Daphnia pulex: one gene and its partners. The protein of the gene in region 1 interacts with the protein of each later gene in a pairwise test. Links are inferred from orthologs where the notes say so. Each region holds a gene or a part of one and is shown in the gene's direction. Other genes may lie near its edges. The genes, in order: cyclin-C-like, cyclin-dependent kinase 1-like, cyclin-dependent kinase 14-like and cyclin-dependent-like kinase 5.

The links.
Region 2: the proteins of cyclin-C-like (region 1) and cyclin-dependent kinase 1-like interact in binary tests that used the Drosophila melanogaster proteins (3 or more experiments, as listed by UniProt). The link is inferred for Daphnia pulex from reciprocal best matches to the Drosophila melanogaster genes CycC and Cdk1.
Region 3: the proteins of cyclin-C-like (region 1) and cyclin-dependent kinase 14-like interact in a two-hybrid assay, tested with the Drosophila melanogaster proteins (2 studies listed by BioGRID). The link is inferred for Daphnia pulex from reciprocal best matches to the Drosophila melanogaster genes CycC and Eip63E.
Region 4: the proteins of cyclin-C-like (region 1) and cyclin-dependent-like kinase 5 interact in binary tests that used the Drosophila melanogaster proteins (3 or more experiments, as listed by UniProt). The link is inferred for Daphnia pulex from reciprocal best matches to the Drosophila melanogaster genes CycC and Cdk5.

What each region holds. Positions count from the first base shown.
Region 1 is NC_060017.1:5,572,557-5,576,008, reverse strand, and holds cyclin-C-like, read left to right. Parts: upstream 1-1,384; 5' UTR 1,385-1,512; coding exon 1,513-1,544; intron 1,545-1,602; coding exon 1,603-1,709; intron 1,710-1,777; coding exon 1,778-1,984; intron 1,985-2,044; coding exon 2,045-2,168; intron 2,169-2,237; coding exon 2,238-2,362; intron 2,363-2,436; coding exon 2,437-2,635; intron 2,636-2,739; coding exon 2,740-2,812; 3' UTR 2,813-2,906; downstream 2,907-3,452. Other genes in the region: adenosine receptor A2b-like, read left to right, coding at 181-513; folate receptor alpha-like, read right to left, coding at 2,928-3,119, 3,176-3,391. UniProt on the Drosophila melanogaster protein: Component of the Mediator complex, a coactivator involved in regulated gene transcription of nearly all RNA polymerase II-dependent genes.
Region 2 is NC_060026.1:11,477,878-11,481,350, forward strand, and holds cyclin-dependent kinase 1-like, read left to right. Parts: upstream 1-1,133; 5' UTR 1,134-1,284; intron 1,285-1,387; 5' UTR 1,388-1,518; coding exon 1,519-1,567; intron 1,568-1,632; coding exon 1,633-1,928; intron 1,929-1,988; coding exon 1,989-2,144; intron 2,145-2,206; coding exon 2,207-2,370; intron 2,371-2,438; coding exon 2,439-2,691; 3' UTR 2,692-2,911; downstream 2,912-3,473. Other genes in the region: GATA zinc finger domain-containing protein 1-like, read left to right, coding at 1-179, 235-398; eukaryotic translation initiation factor 3 subunit F-like, read right to left, coding at 2,975-3,058, 3,122-3,372, 3,431-3,473. UniProt on the Drosophila melanogaster protein: Plays a key role in the control of the eukaryotic cell cycle. Required for entry into S-phase and mitosis.
Region 3 is NC_060026.1:753,711-757,734, forward strand, and holds the start of cyclin-dependent kinase 14-like, read left to right. Parts: upstream 1-1,197; 5' UTR 1,198-1,738; coding exon 1,739-1,817; intron 1,818-1,885; coding exon 1,886-2,166; intron 2,167-2,239; coding exon 2,240-2,518; intron 2,519-2,599; coding exon 2,600-2,691; intron 2,692-2,763; coding exon 2,764-2,938; intron 2,939-3,000; coding exon 3,001-3,402; intron 3,403-3,465; coding exon 3,466-3,718; intron 3,719-3,803; coding exon 3,804-3,913; 3' UTR 3,914-4,024.
Region 4 is NC_060026.1:15,917,808-15,921,808, forward strand, and holds cyclin-dependent-like kinase 5, read left to right. Parts: upstream 1-1,445; 5' UTR 1,446-1,588; coding exon 1,589-1,625; intron 1,626-1,749; coding exon 1,750-1,823; intron 1,824-1,897; coding exon 1,898-1,912; intron 1,913-1,981; coding exon 1,982-2,044; intron 2,045-2,116; coding exon 2,117-2,247; intron 2,248-2,309; coding exon 2,310-2,397; intron 2,398-2,506; coding exon 2,507-2,593; intron 2,594-2,657; coding exon 2,658-2,742; intron 2,743-2,801; coding exon 2,802-2,879; intron 2,880-2,939; coding exon 2,940-3,073; intron 3,074-3,134; coding exon 3,135-3,233; 3' UTR 3,234-3,439; downstream 3,440-4,001. Other genes in the region: sperm-associated antigen 7 homolog, read right to left, coding at 3,483-3,628, 3,686-3,785, 3,844-4,001. UniProt on the Drosophila melanogaster protein: Probably involved in the control of the cell cycle. Interacts with D1 and D3-type G1 cyclins. Possible regulator of neuronal differentiation and/or development.

The sequences.
Region 1 (3,452 bases):
GCAAAATTTAAAATCCCCTGTAAACAACATGTATAACAATAGGGAAAAAACCGTGATAATTTTACAACCGGCTCAACCCGGATCTAAACATGCTAAACAGTTTAATTTTCTTTATCCGAGCTGTTGTTGTGTAACCGACACGCAACTCTTTTCCTCAATGTTGCCGTTTGTTTTCGGCAGGTTGTCATGATTTTGTATTTCGGGAAATCAGCCCTGAATCCATTTATTTACGGATGGAAGAACCGCGATTTCCGACTGGCTTTCGCCCGTTTGCTCCGCTACGTCCCCTGCTCCAAGTGGGCGATGGAGCGCTCGCTCAGCTCGGTGGAAATGGCCACCGGAATCGGATCGAGAGCTGGATCCATCCAGCCGCACGATCGACAGCGACTCAGTAAAATCTATCAGCTGGAGCTGCCACCTATCGAGTGGCAAATCAACTCCACCGACCTCTCCAACGACGACTACCTACAACGAACGATCCCGCCGGATCAGCAACAAGTCACGGACTTGTAAAAATTCACGACGGCACGTTTTGAAATAGTTTTTGTTTTTTCACGTTACGCCGGACGCATGCCAAGAATCGTTCAAGTCAATTCTCACGGGGGCTACACTCTTTATTCATGCAGGATGCCTCTGCTTCTTGGCCTGTCCATCGTTGCTGTTGACTGATGCGGGAGATATGTCACATGATTTTTTCCCCCCATCGGTTGTGTTGATGATATTAAAATATTTTCATGTCTTGTGTATAGGCTCCATTGAATGTTGATTGTATTTTTCGTTCGTGCCGATGCCACGGGATTCAAACTCTCTCTGACTGTCCATATCGTCATATAGCCCACACATATTTTGTATCATCTCTGTTTTCTTACTCAATGGTCCATTCCGCATTTTGTATTTTCTTATTTTTTTGCAACGCATTTCTTTTCGGCCTGATGTACTCATGATTCTCGTTGTTGTAAAACGGACAAGTGGTCAAATTCCTTCGTGTTTAGTAGCCAAATTTACATACTCAATTATTCATGGATCGTTTGTAACTTTGTAAAATGTAACAAACATTGTGTTATGAACGTTTCGTTAGGCGACAATAATATGTAAACAAATACGCTGTGTAATGAGTCTCAAAAATATTAAATCATGTTTATTTACGTCGAACCAAAGTAACTCATTGCGTCATCATCCTAATCACTCAAAAACAGTCATACAGTAAGTCATAAGTTTACAATTAATTAATTAAAACCAAATGGAATGCAATGTTTTGTTTTGTTGAACGCTAATAAAACTTTAAAAAAAACAGAACAAAATCACGAATACGATCGTTCACAAATCACTAAATCAGTAAATCACGATGTTTTCTTTTCTTTCGTTTATTGGCGTGCTCGGGTGCGAAAAGGCTTCCATGTTAGAAAATCCGGGCACGGCGACATTTTAATAAGCGCCGCCTTACGTCGTCTAACCTAACAGTGTCGAGCATCGTTTACACACAGTAAACAAGTTAAACCTCGGCCGCAGAGTATGGCTGGGAATTTCTGGCAAAGCTCGCATTGGTTAGTTTTTATTTGTCTAACGTTTTGATTCACATTTAATTACTCACTTTATTATTAGTCAGCAGTGGCTACTAGACCCTTCTGATTTGGTTCGAGAACGCCAAGGGGATTTCGCCATCGTCACGGAGGAAGACTATCAAAAACTCTTCATCTTCTTTAGTAACTGTAAGTTTATATTAACTATGGAATCATCTCCTAAATGTTGAATAATAAAAGTGTCTTTCTCATGTTAGTCATCCAGGTTCTTGGTGAGCATTTGAAACTCAAACAACAAGTCATAGCGACTGCCACAGTTTACTTCAAGCGGTTTTATGCCAGGAATTCCTTGAAATGCATTGATCCACTGCTACTTGCCCCCACATGCATTCTGTTGGCTTCAAAAGTCGAAGAGTTTGGTGTAATTTCGAACAACAGATTAATCACAACATGTCAATCAGTTGGTATGTGATCTTTTCATAAGACAAAATTTGTTATTGTGATTCAATCAACTTCTTAAACAGTCAAGTCAAAGTTCAACTATGCCTATCCTCAAGAGTTTCCCTACAGAGCACAACACATCCTTGAGTGTGAATTTTATTTATTGGAAAACATGGATTGCTGTCTAGTTGTTTACCAACCTTACAGGTGATCAACTGTTTCTGAGAAAATTTAAAGCATAATGTAATAATGTTTTCATTTGAAATTTCCACACAGACCACTTGTCCAATTTGTTCAAGACATTGGGCAAGAAGATCTTCTTGGATTGTCATGGAAAATAGTCAATGATAGCCTAAGAACTGATATATCTCTTCTGTACCCCCCTTACCAAATTGCATTGGGTTAGCTTGAATTATTTTTGTCTTTTATCATGTGAACTCTACTTCATTTATTTCTTTCTTTTCTTCTGTATTAGCTGCCATGCAAATGGCTTGTGTTGTGCTTCAGAAAGACGGGAAAAATTGGTTTGCGGAAATTGCCGTCGATACGGATAAAATTCAAGAAATAACGCGTCAAATTCTGGCTCTGTACGATCTCTACAAGACCTACGACGAGAAAAAAGAAATTCAGGGTTTGTTGGCCAAAATGCCTAAACCCAAAACGCAGCCAAGTCGGTAGGATATTCAATTTCCTATTTAGATCCCAATTCTTTCTTATTTGATCACATTGCAAAGAATAAAATTTTAAAATTGTTTAATACACTGTGATAACTATGTAGGCCTCCCTCGTCAGCACAATCACAGGATGGAATACAGGGCACAAATGACCAGTCCATGGGTGTGACAAATTGATTATCATTATCATTCTCATTTTATAAACTGAAAAACACAAAAAAAACTGTGTTATGATCAACTATTTAATACATGCTTTCTTTTACAATGAAAATGAGAACGCAATTTCTCTATTCTAGTAGTTTAGAAACAACATCAAGGCGGGGAGTACGTATGTAAGCGGCTTCGTTGAAAACGTTTCCGCGCTGTTACTTTGTTGGATTTTCCATCGTGCAATATTTTCGTTAGGATTGCCTTGATCACCGTCAAACCAAATACGCATGCAGGGCTCTGAATTATTGGTATACTTCCATGAATGATCCCAAACCTTTTAGAAAATAAAAATGTAATCAAAATTCTAGGGAGAATGTTAATACTGTTTACCCTTTCACAAAAATTAGATGAGTTTTGAAAGATATCGGAAAAGGTGCGACATTCGGATTCAGGTCGGCAGTGATTGGTCCCATTAATCCATTTGAAGTTTAATGTCCAATTGTCTGTACATGTGTAATCATCCTTGCAAGCATTGAACCAATCATCACAATCAGTGGCGCAAAGAGGCACGTCCAAGAATCTTTCTCTGCGCATTTTCATGTTTACCTAGATAAAAAAGAAAATATACAATTATTTTCTACAAGTTTAAAACATTCAAAACAAATGC
Region 2 (3,473 bases), on another chromosome or scaffold:
TTATCAAGTGGGGGACATAGTTTCAGTCACAGATGAAGATGATGGAGTTTATTATGCACAAATTCGTGGGCTTCTGCAAGACCAATTTTGTGAAAAAAGTGCTGTATTAACTTGGCTCATCCCAACTCAAAGTTCACCACCCCCAGATGTGGGATTTGATCCACAGACATATATTTTAGGTATGTGAATTTTATATTTTTTTTTCTGTACAGCATTAAAACAGTCTTGGTTTAGGTCCTGAAGAAGAATTGCCACGTAAGCTGGATTATCTTGATTTCGTAATGCATGCGCCGAACGAATATTACAAACTGGATGAAAATGTTCGAGTGTCTAGTGAAAAAGAAGCTGGCTATATTTGGACAAGTATGGGTGCCGTACGAAGAACTATTCATTCATGAAAAATTCCACCAGGATCATCCGTTTATAGTAGAATAGAAAGACCAAGGCAGCCGGCTCTTTTGTTCTTTGTGTCTTTTAATGCCATTACAGATTCGTTTGTAAAACAATTCCATCATTTCTGAAGTTTGTAACTAAAAATATTTGTCACATGTTCTGCTACCTCACTGAAATTCGGAGGAAGAGTAAATTAAATTGTTTGATCTGTTTTAAGTGTTCTTTTCTAAATTTTTAAGAGTTTTCACAATTTTAGTAAGATATTTTCGAAAATTACATGTCGGAAATTATAGAAGATTTTTTTACCTGCTTGCACGGCTTTCTTAAAAATAATACTTGACCATTCCTGCATTACGGCTTGCCTTGCGGGTAACAATGTTTTTAGAAATTATTTTGTGCTGAAATTTTGAGCTGAAATATTTTCTAGTCTACCGGTAAAAATGTTTCGATTATAGTGGTAATAAACAGTTCATTTAAAATATAATGATATTTAAAAATAATATCGATAATGTTAATGAGTTTTTCAAACTTGTATAAGTTGTATGGGTTTTTATTCATTCATAATACTAGCGTCATTCGAACTAATAGACAATTATAACTTGAAATCACCAGCGGGAATTTGTTATTTTAATTTGAGTTTTAATTCAAAACCTTAAAAAAGTTTAAAAGAACTATAACAAATTCGAAATCGTATAGTAGGTTCGTCAAATACATCCATTTTGTCCAATGGGTTTCTGATTATCACCCATAGAGGGCCGTGATTCTGTGAAGTGATGAAGTCGTTTCAAAATTTGGCGGTTACATTCCTTAGTCCAACGGCCGCCACCGTCTCTTTGACATCCAAGTGTGCTCACCTTTTCCTTTAAAGTCGAGTCTGTGGAAACACGTTGGGTACGAACTTTCTTTACTTTGTTAGATTATTCTCTGTTTATCGTGTAACGAAATATTTTATGCAAGAGTCTTACGAATCAATTGATGACAATCTGATTTGCAGGTGGAATACGAAGAATACGTCACTCCAGTTTTTGTTTGCTGCCATTCGACTTCAAATTTCCGTTACTTTCCCGAGATTTCAATTCTTCACACTTTTTGGTTTTTGTTCTTGTTTCTTAACAAACAATAGTGATGCCTTCTGCAATGGAAGACTTTACCAAAATAGAAAAGATCGGTGAAGGTAATGATCCCTGGTACACTAAGCTGTGTAACTTGAACTGATTTTAAAACTTTTGTTTCGCAAAGGTACTTATGGTGTTGTCTACAAGGCTAAAAACCGTAAGACTCAACAATTTGTTGCCATGAAGAAAATCAGGCTTGAAAATGAAGATGATGGTGTTCCTTCGACAGCCATCAGGGAGATATCACTTTTGAAAGAGCTGCTACATCCCAATATCGTCTGTCTGGAGGATGTTTTGATGCAAGAAGGAAAGCTGTATTTAATTTTTGAGTTCCTGTCAATGGACCTTAAAAAGTACATGGACAGCATTCCAACTGGGCAGTTGATGGATAAAACTCTTGTTAAGTCTTATTGCCACCAGGTTTGCTTAGAAGATTTAGGACTCATTTATATATTGGCCTGATTTATATTTTCCCTCTAGATTTTGGAAGGCATTTTATATTGTCATAGACGTCGAGTTTTGCATAGAGATTTGAAGCCCCAGAACTTACTCATCGATAAAAACGGAATTATTAAGATAGCTGATTTCGGTCTTGGGCGCGTATTTGGAGTTCCCGTTCGTGTCTACACTCACGAGGTAAAGGAAAGAAGGTTCCCAATGCATGGACGTATACTATAAATTCTTTTGAACTCACGAAGGTTGTTACTCTATGGTACCGTGCTCCTGAAGTATTGCTTGGGTCATCAAGATATTCGTGCCCCATAGACGTGTGGTCGGTTGGCTGTATTATGGCTGAAATGATAACGAAAAAGCCATTGTTCCAAGGAGATTCGGAAATTGATCAGCTTTACCGTATTTTCCGGTAGTGTTACTTGTCCTTTTTTTTTTATTTTTAAAATTACATTTGTTCCTATTTTATTTGAAACACAGAGTAATGAAGACGCCCACGGAGGAAATGTGGCCAGGCGTTTCAAAAATGCCCGACTATAAACCTACTTTCCCTAATTGGAATACTTACCACCTTCAAAATTCCGTGAAGCAACTTGACTCGATTGGATTTGATCTGCTTCAAAAAACTCTCATTTACGATCCAGCCCTTCGTATCACGGCTCAGGATGCTTTAGATCATGCTTGGTTTACCGATCTGGATAAATCTATCTTACCCACCAATGTGCCTGCTTAATTAAGCATTCCTCATGTAAACGATAGCTACTAAACCTGGCCAACTTCCTGATGGTCGTTTCTTGAAATTCTGTTTTTCGCTTTTCCTAATCATCATTTTTTTTGCTCTCTGAGAGAAGATGGGTGTGATTCTTTTCCTTGGTAGCGAAGAAATTTTCTTCCCCCTTGTGTACGTGTGACTGTATACTATAGTTTCCTAATAAATATGCTCACGAGGACTACATCAGAAAATTGTAATTTAATTGGGAGATGTTCATTTTTATTTTTTATATCAACGTTCTGAATTAAATTGTCAACAATGTGAGTTTTTCGTTCAGCGACAGTTGAGTCTTGGTAAGTTGTGATAGATATAATACCATCAATAAATCCTAAATTAATAAAGTTTTACAAAAATTAGATTAAATAAGTAAATATTGGGTAATGTTTTCTACCTTTCGGTTTGAATTAAGCATCTCTTCAAATTCGTCGGGTGTCATTTTAGGTACCGAATGAACCATATCTAATAGAGAACGACCAAACGTGTTGTCAGCCGTTTTGGAGCCACTCATTACGTCGTCAACATAAGCCAAGATAGTGTCCAGCATGTTTTCCATCTGCTGCGAGGCTTCAACAATCTGAGTAAGATCCGAAGCGATGCCCGCTTGACGTTTAACCGAGGTTTTGGTTTTCTGGCAGGCATTTACTGAAAAACAATCAAAGATTAATTCCCAGTATACATACACATTTTCTATTATAATTACATCCAATAGTTTCTGGGTCATAGCATGCTATCTCAACAGAAAC
Region 3 (4,024 bases), on another chromosome or scaffold:
TAGTGTCATAAGGTACACATATCCTTACAGCCTTGACACGTCATCAAAATGGCCGCTCATTTTCCAATTCGACCCAAATTTTCGACATTTGAAAGTCAATCGGAAATGAATCGGCAGAATTTCGATTTAATTTTGACGGTTTTTTCCAAAAGGAGCGTGACTCTAATCTTCCTACAGCAGCAAAGTCATTGTAATATAAAAACGTCACACGTTAAGACTTTTCTTTAATGAGGAAATATGAATATGACCGGGACTTAACAAAAGGAATATAACGACGGCGTGACTAAAAAGCTGCGGGTGGATTATTTATGCATTTCTCATCTCTCTACTTTGGTCGAATAAGAAAAGTTTCAATCTCACCCGCGCCTAGCGAACCATCAGACTATATAATAGTAGTCTGCCATACAACCATAAAGTTTGATTTATTTATATACGTTATAGAGCATTTGCGGGATGATGGGCTCCAGGGAGGTGTGTCGTCTATTATGGAATGGAAAAAGAGGGGGGGGGGGAAATATCACTCACTCACGACTGACACACACGACCAGAGCCAGCCACACCCTTTGAGCGATAGTCGTGTGTGTGTACAAGCAAAAGGTGAGTCGCCCATCACAAAAGGCGACAGAAAACCTTTGATTCCCAGCCTGGCTAGCACCACCAGTGTTTATCCAGGACACAATCTACTTGAAATCTATCGGCCATGGGAAAAGTTAATGAGCATATCTCTATACTATATAGCGCAGCTCATAGAAAGTTTCGTGTATTTTATAGATACCTTTTGATCTATTATTCATAGCGTTTCTATTGTATTAGCAAACACAATCGATGAATAATAAAGCACGACTACACAAACTCGGCTTGAGTATCATTATTTTTTGTGTATTTTTTTTCAAGGTGAAACTCCCGAAAAGAACCAGTTGTGTGACTCACAAAACATTTCTGGAATAGTTGGGAAAAAAATTTCATTTCGTGCATTCGCCTCGGGGGTGACATTAAATTTATGTAAATACTAACTCGTTTGGTCAAGATTTCACGAGGTAAAATTAAAAAAAAATGGAAAATATACATCTAATGTAGAGTAGTAGGTTATCTCTCCTGTTGTAAAGCCAGTTTTCTGTTGTTGTCCTTTTCTCTAACGGATCGATTTGACAGATGATCATTTGCCAAACGTGACAACGCTGTGCTTTAAAACACTCCCCCTCTCTTTTTTCTTTCTGCTGTACACACACATCAGAGAGAGGCTCACGGCATTATACACACACACACAATACTAGAAACATGGCTGCTTAGCACACACATACACACACTGTCGTCCGATTTTGACAGATACCACTCGTTAAAGTTGCACCAGTCTGCGTGAGAAAGTGAGCAGAAGGTAACGAGAAATCGGTGGCGATTTGTGAGGGACTTGCGCGTTCGTACGGAGCCCGCGCTCTGTTATCTTATCGGGCTTTGATTTGGCTTCCAAGTTTAGATTCGATCGCGGCCCCCTCCCACATCCTACTACTGCCCACTCGATCACGACTCGCAACCGCCCAATTTTTGTCGTCTGAGCTCCTTTGTGCTATCGGCTCGTGTGGGATATTCGCGACGAAAAGGGGAGTGCAACCTTAGCAATGACCACCATATCTCAAGTGTTGGCCAATCTCTACGTCACCATCAGTTGCTCATAGGAGAAATGCAGGTGCTCGGTCAGTGATCCGCCTAATACCCAAGAGTTTCCTCATTCCAGTTCGACATGTCGGAAACCAAGAACAAGCTCAGCAAGGTGGCCAGGCTGAGGAAACGACTCAGTGACAGCTTGGGCAGGCTGGCCTGTAAGTGTTTGCATCACCTTTTCCCCCCGTTGCCTCTTTTAATTTCTTATCTCTCTCTCTCTCGACAGCTCTGGCAAAAGAAGACTGGTCCATCAGCCGAACAAGATCTCAGACCAGACTCTCTCACATGGGCTACCGCAAGGACCACAACGGACTCAGCATGAGGGGCAAAGCAGGTTTCTCTGACGAGTATCTGGACAAGCTGGACAGCGAAACCAGGGACTCGCTGCAGGAGAATGGTGATGCATCTGGTGGGCAAGGTGAGCCAGACCTCCGATGGGAGAGGCTACGACTAAGTGACGGAGATTTGCTCAGCGCCAGCCGGGATCCAGAATTCGAAAAATTGAAGGTATAATTGAATCTAAAATTTGTTTTCCCCTGTTCCATTTCTTATGTTATTATTTTTGTATTAATGTCGACAGGGTTCTGGTGGTGCCGATTCCGGTTTGGGAAGTGACGATGCGTGTGCTCAAGATACCAGCAGCCGAATTGCTACGGTTGGAGGTGAACAAGTGGTGCTGAGACGTAGTAAGAAATCGTCCTCGTCCCACCTGAAACAGCGTCCCAAATCGGAGGTTTACCGACACCAGCCCATCGACCCTCACCTGGCCGGAGCCAGTGTCGTCCTACCCAGCGCATCCGCCATCAATTTGAAACCCTCCGAGTCTATTCGTCGCTCCAAAAGATACTCAGCCTTCGGGGTGTGTATTCAATTCATCTTTTTATTTTCATCCGTTCCTTTTTCTGCTTTTTATATGTTTCAAACTTTCCCGCCTTAATAGGGAACCAGTCCGTTTGGCAAAATCGAGAATTACCTACGACTGGAGCAGCTAGGCGAAGGCTCTTACGCCACCGTCTACCGAGGATTCAGCAAGTAAAAACTTTGAGTCGAGTTATTCGAAAATGTTGGTGACATTTCTGACCAATTTGTTTCTTTTAATTTTAGTTTGACTCAGCAAGTGGTGGCGCTGAAGGAAATTCGTTTGCAGGAAGAAGAAGGTGCTCCATTCACGGCCATCCGTGAAGCTTCTCTACTTCGTGACCTGCGTCACGCCAACGTCGTCACCCTGCACGACATTGTGCACACGAAAACGTCGCTAACGTTCGTCTTTGAATACGTCGTAAGTCTCGTCATTTGGCACATTCCGTTTGAATCGATTTTAATTTTTCTTTCTCTCGACAGCATTCGGATTTGGCTCAGTATCTGGAGAGGCATCCGGGCGGATTACAGGCTCACAACGTCCGTTTGTTCCTGTTTCAGCTCCTGCGTGGCCTCTCGTACGTCCACCGGCGCAAGATCCTCCACCGGGATCTCAAGCCGCAGAATTTGCTCATCAGCGAAGTCGGCGAACTCAAATTGGCCGATTTCGGGCTGGCCCGCGCCCAATCGGTTCCGTCGCACACCTTCTCAAGCGAAGTCGTGACCCTCTGGTACCGGCCGCCTGAAGTCCTACTCGGCTCAACGCAATACTCTTCGCCGCTGGACCTCTGGGGCGTTGGCTGCATCTTTGTCGAGCTCCTGACGGGCAGTCCGGCATTTCCCGGCGTCAAAGACGCTGCCGATCAATTGGAAAGAATCTTCAAGGTAAAATTTTTGCTCAATTTTGTATTAATTGACTTTGTTGATGAATTTTTGTGGGTCTCACAGATTTTGGGGACGCCGACGGAAGCGACGTGGCCGGGCGTGTCCCGTCTGCCGCTCTACAAGCCGCAGCGCTTGAACTTTTACCGGACGCAAAGGCTGGGCCACGCGTTCCCTCGTCTCTACGACATTAGCCAGGCCGAGAATTTGGCCTCGAAACTGCTCCAATTGCAGCCCAGCACCCGACTGACGGGCGAAACGGCCGTCCGGCACAAATTCTTCCAGGAGCTGCCCTCGCAACTATTTAACCTGTCTGACGGTAACAAAGAATTTAGGCTCCTTCTTATTCTGTTTTGAAATAATTTCAACAACCTTTTGAATTGTTTTGATTATTATTTTAATAGACGTGTCCATTTTCACGGTCCCGGGCGTCGGTCTCTACCCGGAAGAGCGGAAATTCCCTCCTGTCGTTCTCAGAGCGGCCCAGGAGTTGAAAAACAAGGCCAAATTTTAATTATTTTTTTAAATAACTAAAACACAAAACTAAAAAAAAAATTAAGAAAAAGAAAATTTCAGAAATGAAATTTTTATTTTCATTTCCTTCCTTCCTATCCCGAAATCCGTT
Region 4 (4,001 bases), on another chromosome or scaffold:
ATGACATAAACGATGAAACTAAAATTGTGTACCTCAGCTGATAAAACGTGAATTTCGGGCGAAACACCAACAGTGACGTAGTTGTCCAATACAGAAATTATTGACGGAAGAAACTTTGCCATTTTGATTTTCATAGAATGGAAAATTAATATTAAAATATTTAGATTGCAGGACGTGGCAGATGGTGAATCTTGAATTATCATGGATTTTAACACATCGCTGGCGAGTGAATCGTATTGGTCATCCTAAAAAATTGGTTATAAATCTTTTGCCACTTTAAATAACTCGAGAAAATAGCTAACTTGATTCCACTGAGACGGATCATCTGGATCCAAGTTCTGAGCTTTGAGGCAGATGTCGAGGCACTTGTACAAATTTAACTTGTCATCGAATTCAACGTTTTTCTTTAAAGCACTAAATATGACTGCAAACCATCCTCGTTGGAGCAGAGATTTTGGGTTGAGCTGTGCAAATGACAAGGGCATTATTAGCAACACTAGCCGAAATTGGAAGACATTTCTTTTATCCATACACTTAATATATGATGAAGACACTCTAGGCCTTTCTTCTGGTAATCTGGTTCCCAATCATCGAATAACACTAAAGAAACAGGCACAGCAAAATCTACCGATTCATCAATAGAAGGCAGCTAAAAAAATGAATTGTGAAAGTTTAAGGTTTAATAACTTTCATTTGAATTTTTGATACCATAGTATTGCTGATAATCCAAACAAAACAACTGACTGCTGCAGGGTTTTCTTTGATTTGGTTTTTCCCTAGCTTCGGTTTAAGCTGTTGAAGAGTGGAATAAGCAACACCGTCCATGGCAAATATATCCTGAATATTTTGGAGGTGAAGCTTGGAGAGCAAAAGGTTAAGGAGATCTTTCACATTATCAACTGATTTCTGAGTACTCCATTCAGAACAAATACTGTGCTCACCGCACAGGATGAGTAATGACAATAAAGCTAGATTGTTTTTGGTCCACTCTTCTTTTGTTACGGAGGTACCATTCAGAACTAGCTTTTGTAATTCACATACGGCGTCATCGACTTTACTTGACCATTCACGTTGAAATCCTTTTTCGAAGTGGCTTCGTTCGTTGATAACTTTGACGGGGGGAAGGAGAACTTTCCTAGCTATTTCAGCTACTTCACCCATCGCACACATTGATTTTGCAAAATGTAAAATTTAAAATCCTTGAAGAAGAAAAAACGGCTTAAGGATGCCAATCGTCCAACACAGTTCATAAACATTAGATTTAGAAGAATTTTAATTGAACTTTTGTAACTTTTTTATTTAATTAGTGCAAAAGTAACGAAACTGAGAACAAATTTGAACTGACCACTTGAAAAGAAAAAGTGACAACATGAGCAGACGTAATATTGCAGACGAAAATCTTTCGCCATCTAGCGTTGGAAATTGCAAGTCTCAATAGAAACTGTCAAGATTGATCCTGCCGGCGTCTGCCATAACAATAAAAAAACAAAAACAAAAACGCTTTGTGAGTGCGACTGCGAGAGTGTTTTAATTTTGTTTTAAGTTGATTAAGAGTTTCCCGAGAATCAACGGGATTTATTGTTCTATAATGCAGAAGTATGAAAAATTAGAAAAAATTGGCGAAGGTAATTTTCCCGTACATGTTTGTTTTCCAACCGACACTGAGGATTAAAAGCATACAGACGTTTCACATGTGTGTAGTGAAATTAGCAAGGAATTAATCTCCATCACTTTCTTACATTTCAATAGGAACATATGGTACTGTGTTTAAGGCCAAAAATAGAGAAAATCAGGAAATTGTGGCTCTGAAACGTGTCAGGCTTGTAAGTATATAACACATTTCTTTATATATGATTATTTTAAACTAACCATTTTTATTTGAAAAATTCAATAATAGGATGATGATGATGAGGTATGTCACTTTATATTATTGATCAATCACACCAAGCACTTTTCATTTTATTTCATTTTTCTGGCATAGGGGGTTCCATCAAGTGCCTTAAGAGAAATATGCTTATTGAAAGAACTTAAGCACCGTAATATAGTGAGAGTTTTTCTTTCATTAGCACAATTCTGTACACTTTCTATACTAAGCACATTTCTAAATAACCAACAGGTTCGATTACATGATGTCCTCCACAGTGATACAAAGTTAACCCTAGTATTTGAGCACTGTGACCAGGATTTGAAGAAATACTTTGATAGCTTGAATGGGGAGATAGACAGTGAGCAAGTCCAATCACTGATGTAAGACATCCATTTTGTGCACAAAAAATTTGCTGTTAATTAATTTTCTCCTTTGTCTGAAGGTATCAACTTTTAAGAGGTCTTGCATTCTGCCACAGTAAAAATGTTTTGCACAGAGATCTCAAACCTCAAAACTTGTTGATTAATAAGGTAATGTTTAAGTTTTGGGGCATTTTTAGCTTACCCAGATGATATTAACCCTTTTTTTTAGGATGAGTATTTAAAAATTTGCGTTCACTTACAATCAATTTATTTTTAGAACGGTGAGCTGAAGCTTGCAGATTTCGGCTTAGCAAGAGCATTTGGTATTCCTGTCCGTTGTTATTCGGCTGAGGTTGTTACACTGGTAATATACATAATAATTTGAATTCTAAAAATTACAAACATATCTAACAATTTGTAAAAATCAGTGGTATAGACCTCCCGATGTTTTATTTGGTGCCAAGCTGTATACTACTTCCATTGATATGTGGTCTGCGGGCTGCATATTTGCTGGTAACGTTTGCTGTCCTATTCAATTTCGTGATCAGTATTACATCTCTCATTCTTTTTAGAACTTGCCAACGCGGGGCGACCCCTTTTTCCTGGAAGCGATATTGATGACCAACTCAAACGGATATTCAAGTTACTTGGTACGGAATTCTAAAGTGGTTTACGGAGGGCAATTATTTAATAATTAAATTAATCGATAGGAACTCCAAACGAAGAAGTTTGGCCTGGTATATCTCAACTGCCAGACTACAAGCCATTACCCATCTATCAACCAACAAGTAGCTTCGCGCAAGTTGTTCCAAAAATGAGTCCCAAAGGCAGAGATTTACTTCAGGTATTGACTATAATTTTGATATTTCTCAACTTTTTTCTGACTTCCCTTTTGAATTCCATAGAAATTATTACTGTGCAATCCTGCTCTTCGGATTTCTGCAGATGACGCGATGGCGCATTACTATTTTACCGATTTACCTTCAAGTATAAAACATCTATAAGTTATTTTGATTTTTAATTGTAAGACTTAAATTTTGTATCCCCAAACAAAATGATTCTAGAATATTTTTTATATCGAGCAAATTCCTTTTTTATCGATTCTTTTTTTCTTTACCGTGAACACATTGTACTTGCGCGTACATTTTAGAGGATTGTGGTTAGTCAAATTGAATTGCAGTCCAATACAATACATAATTCGAATGGTAAACTAATATTCACATGCGGATGTTGGAGAAATCCTCTTGGTGAAGTTACTCCGTCTTCTGCCTTTTTTTGGCACGAATGTCGGCCAATGTTTGCTCGATGGAGCGTTGATCTTTTTTGTTCTCGGATGAAACAAAACCGTATTTTCGATTTACCTGAGTAACTTTAACAGCATCTTTTACTGCTTCTTTACCTAGTAGATGTCAAAATTTAGTACGTAGGGCGTTTTGTTGTGCTTAATTTAAATTACCGATTAACCGATCGTATTTGTTAACATATTGAGCTGACGATACTGTACTGTCACTTTTTGAAGCTGGTTGCTCGTCCTCCTCATCTTCAGGTTCGGGATTCTACAAAAGATCAATTCCTTATTAGTTCACTCAGAATAATAATAGCTTTGAAATATACCTGTTTGACTGAATCTGGATTCCATGGTATACCCTTTCTGTAAGCATTTAATTCATCTGGGCCTGGAGTAAATTCTTTTTTATAGACAACCACATGTCTGTCAACATCTTCTTCCCCAAATGAAAATGCAGAAAGGCCTGCAGTCTCAGCAATTTCAT